Kluyveromyces lactis: one gene and its partner. The protein of the gene in region 1 interacts with the protein of each later gene in a pairwise test. Links are inferred from orthologs where the notes say so. Each region holds a gene or a part of one and is shown on either strand. Other genes may lie near its edges.

Evidence for each region. The genes of interacting proteins can lie anywhere in the genome.
Region 2: the proteins of CBK1 (region 1) and TAO3 interact in binary tests that used the Saccharomyces cerevisiae proteins (3 or more experiments, as listed by UniProt). The link is inferred for Kluyveromyces lactis from reciprocal best matches to the Saccharomyces cerevisiae genes CBK1 and TAO3.

The regions. Positions count from the first base shown.
Region 1 is NC_006040.1:668,625-672,384, forward strand, and holds CBK1 (serine/threonine protein kinase CBK1), read right to left. Parts: upstream 2,628-3,760; coding exon 471-2,627; downstream 1-470. Other genes in the region: RPL42A (60S ribosomal protein eL42), read right to left, coding at 3,148-3,464. UniProt on the Saccharomyces cerevisiae protein: Protein kinase that seems to play a role in the regulation of cell morphogenesis and proliferation.
Region 2 is NC_006042.1:443,305-447,064, forward strand, and holds the start of TAO3 (Tao3p), read left to right. Parts: upstream 1-1,368; coding exon 1,369-3,760. Other genes in the region: MET18 (Met18p), read right to left, coding at 1-891. UniProt on the Saccharomyces cerevisiae protein: Seems to play a role in cell morphogenesis.

The DNA of each region.
Region 1 (3,760 bases):
CGTTACCCGGAGTAAGGAGATCATTCACACTAACATGAAATTTTTTTTGCCAGTATATAAAATCAGATACATATTTCTTCGTTTCCACTTATAGGCCTTTCAATGATTAAATACATTAGAACTATTTTAGTTTAACCTTAGTTACTATTTGTTTCCTAAAAGATCAACATCAATATTATCGCTCCACGGTTATCCCTGTGTAAGATTTCGTTCTGCGCGGGGACCGGGTTATGTGTTGTTCACTATTTCCTGGTTTTAATAATTTGTGTTGAAGCGTAGATTTAATACCAAGTACGTTGCTGGGCGCCTGATATTGAGTCAATTTGATTATGATCTATTGGGAATCAGCTGTATCTACATTTTCTCCACTTTAATGACCGTAATGTTTATAATTCTTGGTAGTATTTCTTACTTTCGTTTATTTTATTATATTTAGGAACTTCCGTCGCGGTTATGTACAGAGAGCGTTACTATAGAGCATTCTTTCTAGTTAGATAATCAAACCTAGAGTACGTGTACCCGATGAATGGTAAATCTTCCTTTGCATTGGATTGAGGAACCCCTTGTTGCTGTGTCATCATCTGTTCTCTTTGTCTTGCAGCTTGTGCCATTGCTGGTGAATCAGGGACATTTTCTAATTCATCAGTTGGGAAGAACCTAGTATCTGTGACACTGGACAACTTAGGAATATAAGGAGCTTCCACTTGCCTGATAGTGTTCCAATCAACACCACTGAAGAAAGGATGTGCCTTAATTTCATCGGCACCACCATGTCTACCTAGACGATTTTCAGAGTGAGTTAACAATCTTCTGATTAGATCTTCAGCTTCATAAGAAATATGAATATCATCGGGGAATTGCAAAGTTTGTTCGAAATTCATGATCTTACGATACGTTTCTTGTGGTGTTTCAGAGCAAAATGGAGGCCAACCAATTAGACACTCGTACATAATAGCTCCTAATGACCACCAATCACATTCCTGACCATAACCTTGGTACAGGAAAATTTCAGGTGCAATATAATCCGGAGTACCAACAGTAGAGTATGCCATTAGTCTACGCGACTTTCTCCAAGTTTGCATTTGTTGTCTATTTGTCATGGTTAAATGAATGGCGTCAACCAACATTGTATTTCTATTACCATTGTTTGTTTCGTTTGGGAGCTGAGGTTTTTGTAGATTTAATTGCTGTTGTTGCTGTTGTTGTTGCTGTTGTTTCTTTGCCTCGTCCTCTTGTAATAACTTTTTGTAGTAACTTGAATCGTGAGTCTTATGGAACCCCGTACTCAAACCAAAATCTGATAGTTTAATGTGGCCTCTAATATCTATCAAGATATTATCTGGTTTAATATCTCTGTGAATAAAGCCCAATTTATGAATGACCTCGATAGCAAGTATACATTCTGCCATGTAGAATCTTGTCACATCTTCTGTGAAAATTTGCCATCTGATTAACATGGTCATCAAGTCACCACCCGGCAAAAACTCCATAATTAAATACAAATATTGTGAATCTTGAAAGGAATAATACAATGAAACAACCCACGGAGAATCACTTCCCGCTAGAACATCCCTTTCAGCCTTTACGTGAGCTAACTGATCTTTGTTGTACATTTCCGATTTCAGCAATGTTTTCATAGCATATATCTTGCCTGTGTCTTTCTTTTGTACCAATCTAACTTCACCAAAGGCACCTTTACCGATGACTTTCACTGAATTGAAGTCGTCCAACGATAATCTCGTTCTACGTAGTCTCAAAAATTGTGACTCCTTTTTACCTAAAGAAGCAAGCTGTCTATTCTTACGTTCCTCGGACCAGTCCTGGGATGCCAATTCGGATTCCAGTTCCAATCTTCTTTGATTTCTTTCAATAGCATAACCAACACTACTCTGATAAAAGTTCTCTATCTTGAGCTTAACAGCAGCTGCTTTGTCTTGGGTAGTTTTGGTCAATAGGTCAGGTCTTCTCTCAAAATACATGTAATTATTCGCCGATCCATTCTGTTGTTGAGCTTGCTGCTGAGACTGTTGCTGAGTTTGTCGTTGTCCTTGCTGCTGGGCCTGTTGAGTTTGTTGTTGCTGCTGCTGCTGCTGCTGCTGCTGCTGTGCATGATACGTATTGTGTTGAGGTGACTGAGGTTGGGAAGAGCTTTGTTGCTGAGTAAATGTTGGCGGTGTTTGCTGTGTCTGTTGATGTACCGATCTCACAGGACTCTGTTGACCATTCTGCTGTTGCTGCAGTGGTGGCGGGATGTACAAACCGGACTCACTGGCAACAGAATATTGACCGGGAGATGTATGCTGAGCGGATTGATATACCTTCGAATTAGAGTTGTTGTTATGTGAATAAATGCTTTGAGTTGGTGGTGGAGTCGCTGGATAATTCAAGTTGGGCACATCAGTAAACCCTCCATTCGGATAATATTGATTATTATGCGACTGAGGTTGCGATTGCTGTTGGGTCAGACGGTCTTGTAAAGACGGCTGTGATCCTTGTTGTTTCATATAATTGGTGCTGAACATGGGCTGAGAAGGTTCCGAAAAGGGCATGTTTCCCTGTTGCTGAAAATCGTTTGGACGACCAGAAGGCTGTTGATAGTAGTTCTGATTCGAATATCCACCGTACATTACGTGTTGTTGCTGAAGTAGCGACGTCCAAACGGCCTTGTTGACGTGAAATATGTCTCTAAACGTTAACAGTATAGTTTCATGTTCGTTGTTTTCTAAAACAAGTTTGATTCGATGTTTTTGTTTTTCCAATGAAATTGGCGATTATGGCAAATATTGAAAACATATTTTAGACAATGGAATGAAAAAAGTGGTATACATGGTGAGTATGTACATGTTATATTAGCTAAGGTCATATGTAAGCTTTACTGCCTGCAGGATCAATAATGTAGCCTGAGTCCTACGCTATTCTTTGTAAACAATTCTTGTTAATAAACTCTTATGCGTTCTGCTGAAAATTATACTTAGAATACGTATAATACAAATCGCAAAGTGAAGAAGTACCCAGTGGAGACTAAACTATACAAATGACAGATATGAGATTATAAATGTGATGAAAGAGTATATGTGAATTCGTAATACTTATAGAAAAGTTAAAAAATTGACAAATGGTAACAAATTGGTCTTCCAAAAGATAATCTCAGAATTGCAAAGCTTGACCCTTTTGCTTCTTTTCACCACCCAATTCGAAGTGCTTACATCTCTTCAAAGCCAATTGGGTCTTGGTCTTACAGGACATACATTCCAATCTCAAAACGACCTTCTTGGTAGTCTTAGCTTTCTTGTGGAAAATTTGCTTGGTTTGACCACCGAAACCAGATTGTTTACGGTCATATCTTCTCTTACCTTGAGCGTACAAGGAAGCCTTACCAGCCTTGTATTGGGTAACCTTGTGTTGGGCGTGCTTACGGCACTCCTTACCCTTACAGTAAGTCTTTCTGGTCTTTGGAACGTTAACTGTTAGAAATTAACATATCATAAGATAGTGATACATGTCGATGTTAGTAAAAAAATATTCTTTAGCTTCATCCAGCTTATTTTGATTGCAGGAATTCTATTCTCTTCTTCTTATTGTATAGGGAGGTCCAGGCTATCTGAACCCCAGTTGTTTAATACGACTGAGTTCCTGTTAATTATGTTCAGTCAGTGTAGCGTTGACTTCACTGATATACAATTCTCTGAGGTTGTCTCGACTACACCGAATTAAGAAACATAGGGACAACAAATAACCCAAATTACTTCCTCCAGCGTGA
Region 2 (3,760 bases), on another chromosome or scaffold:
AGATGATGTTCCACTGAATGTATCCACACATGCTTTGAGGGTCAGTATAGTATCATTTTTAACAGTTGGTGACGATGCTGCCAATTTATCTAAGAGGTTCCCAAAAGCATCCTCCTCAAACTTTTCCGTGGCAGTGATGGCACTTCTCAAGGCTAGTTTCAAATCATTATTGGTAATTTTGTATGGATCATTACTTGGGGGTTTGAACATGATTGGGAAGTAGCAGAATAATATATCAAATAATTCCTCCTTGAAACTGTCAATGTTGCGTAAACCGGTGCTAATATCAGAATTCAAACGGAAAGATATGAGAAGATTTCTAGGATCTTTCTCACCAGTTGCAACAAGAATAAAAGTTTCGATATATAAGTCATTCAATTTGAGATTGCCCAACATCTGGGATTTGAATTTGATAAGTATATTATCCATAATCCTGAATCCGAAATATCTAGTCGCAGCCAAAAAGTTAGTAGGTTGATAGTCATTTCCTAAAAGTTTTAACAGCTTTTCGACGTGACTAACGTAAAAACAGTCCATTAGTACTAATGAGTTGATCCCTTGTAGTGTTTCTTTCATGCAGCCTGAATCTTCCATCTTACTTTGGTAGAAATCGAATATCACTGAAACATCATTCTTCTTTAGTACCGCTGGTGAAATGTGTTCCAATATACAAGATAAACAGCTCAATGCATTTTGTCTGGTGCTATCGTCATCAGAGGTTAAGTACTCTCGTAAAAATATTACAATTCGTAACAATTCAATGCTCTTTCGAGTTACCTCATCAGCGATCGTATTGGCCAATTTGTCTGCCACAGAAGTATTAACCTTTGCATTAGCCATAAAACTGACAATGTCTGCTTTCAATTTATCTTCTGTATAGTCTGTCGCCATTATGGTACGATATAAATATTTTACAGTGATAGGGCGGTCTTCAATGACAAGTTTATCGAATGCTAAAGCACTAAATAACTCGTTGAGTTCTTACTCGTTCTTGTTGACTAAGGTTGGGTTTTATTCCACATTACGATTTTGATATGTGCAATGCTTCCGATTAGGCTTAATTATTTGATTACCCGGAACACTCCGTATCATGTGACCAGATCAAGAATAACAATTCAGTGAAGTTAACAGTAGGAGATGACGATGAAATGATCTGCATAAGGGAGTGGAAGAAAGAATTGCTGTCTACGCGGTAAGAGATCGTTATTCATAATTGATCGTGTTCCCAAGGTTTATGGAATACGAGAATTTGGGTTGAATTGTGCTTTTATCAAAAGGCCTATTGTCACGAAAATTCGCTTTCCAATTGTTTTAAATCATAATAAGAAAGGTCCAATACTGCCAGATATCCACAACTTACAATTGGACATGAACTCTGGGTTTATGTTTCCTCCAGTGGGGAAAGAAAACAGGGCACATGGTACCTTACTTTCTGATGATATGGGTAATGATTTTAAGTTTCCAAGTGAGAATGTGAACCAAGTAGAGGTTGAAAAGCAACAACAGTATCCTTCCACCCAGATTGACCAGGGGGCTGTGCAACATAGCAATACAGATTATCCTCAACAGACACTGAATATCATAGACATTCCACCGGTAGATCCTAATGGTGTGACCCCAGAACAATTCCATATCAATGCATTGCAATTGAACAAGCCGGGAGATAACCTGTCGAACAAAATTACAAACAATATAAATTACAGCATCAACGAGGTATCTCAGCAACCAAGACCTGATCCTGCATCTGCTAATAGTACATCCTCATTCCCCGATGAATACGTTGCCGGATTAAGACAGAAATCGGCAACTGACTGGAAAAGTCCGTCTGAATACGCATTACACATTCTTTTCACAAAGTTCGTAAGATTTGCCGAGATGAAGCTTAATATATGTTTACAATATCCGAGAGAGACGGAACCTCCAATTATAGAAATTTTAGGAGAAGGCAAGGATATAGAATTTGACAAAATTATAGAATCGTTGGGTTTCATTTCCAAGAAAAATGCGAAACCGGTAATAGATGCAATGATGTTTTGGAGGAAGACAAAGTCTGAAGTAGCTGCTTTAGCAGCGGAAAAACTGGATAAAATCATGCAAGAATATGAGCAGTATGTGAAGAATAATGAGCAAGTTCTGGCAGCTAGTCGAACTCACTCAAAATCATCTAGCTCAGCTAGCAGCAGGTTGACACATAGAAGAAATACCTCATCAAAGTCCTCTACAAGCCTGAATTCTCATTCAGATCCCAAATTTGCATCATTAGAGAACCAGGTAGAGAGAACAAAAGAAATGGCTTTCCAGGCCGATAGAAAATCTCTTATTACCATTTATATTTTGTGTCGTGTTTTGATCGAGATTGTCAAGCAGAATCCTATGGACTTTGATGATGAGTTAAGTACGAAGCTTGAAGGTATCGTTTTCACACAATTGAAGACTACCGATCCATCATCACTGTCTTCAACGCTAATTAAATCAGCAAATTGGAACTCGTTCGCGGAATTATTAGGCTGGATGAGTGAAAAAAAGTTTATCTCTGTCAGTGATAAATTTATAGCAGATCTCGAAAAAATCCCTCCCAAAGTTCCCCGTGATCAAGAGCCCTCTGTGCACCTTTTAATCCTAGGAATGCGTTATTTGAGGCTTAAAAACTATCCTCTAGAAATGTTTGAGGAAAGTGCAGGGTTCATCAAATCTATTTCGAAGTTCTTTGCTCCGTCCCAAAACACTTCTATTCGTTTGGCTTATGCTGAAGTACTAAGTCAACTTTTATTGCCGTTGGCTGGAGCAATGACAGCAGAGGCTAATCATCCAACGTGGATAGAAGCAATGACGTCGATCCTAGCTACCTGTAAAAAACTTCAAACTGACAGCAAATGCTGGACACTTGCTTTCAAGTTGACCGTGGCAGTGTTGTGTGTCTCAGATACTGAATTGTTTTCCAAAAACTGGTTATCTTTGATCGAGAAGAACGTTACCAAAATTAAATCTAAGTCATTAGAAGATCGTGTTGCTTTCTCCATGGGCCTTTCAAGGTTGATATGGGTCTATCTTTTCAGATGTACTGAAACCTTAAACAATACAGACAAAACGTTGACAAAATTGTTCTCGTTATTTTTGAGTTCAAAGAAGAAGGAGAACTGGATCACGACAGATATGGATATCATAAACCCTCTATGTGATGTTTTCGTGACTGTGGGATACGTTCATCCTACCTTCGTATTTGAAAATGTTCTTCTACATTTGATGAAATCCTCCTTTAATGGGACGAATTTAGAGAATATTGCACATGAAAAATTGATACTAGTCATCAATACTTATAGAGGATTACTTATGACTAAAGAAAGGCCTATATTCCCTGATGGAGAACGCAGGTTCTATGAAGTTGACTTGAATAAGATATCGGTACATTCTTCGGATAAAAATTGGGCCAATCATGAGGAACTTGTGAAGTATTTGTACAAACTTTTCATGTTACTTGATTCTAATATAGGATCAGAGGTGTGGTCACCGGAAAATGAACACCGTCGCCAACCTTCCACACCTTTCTCAAATATCACAAATTTTGGTTTCGGAATCAATAATGATAACAGTGCAAATTATGCACGAAGCCTGAATATGGCACTTTTTGCAACCCTTATTGAGGTTTTGCCCTGCTGTTTGTCAGTGTCTCAAAGCATTCCATTCAAATCTACGATTGAAATTCTATCCAGGAATGCTGTCCACGCAGATCAGCTGATTGCGACAAGTGCCCAAAATGCAT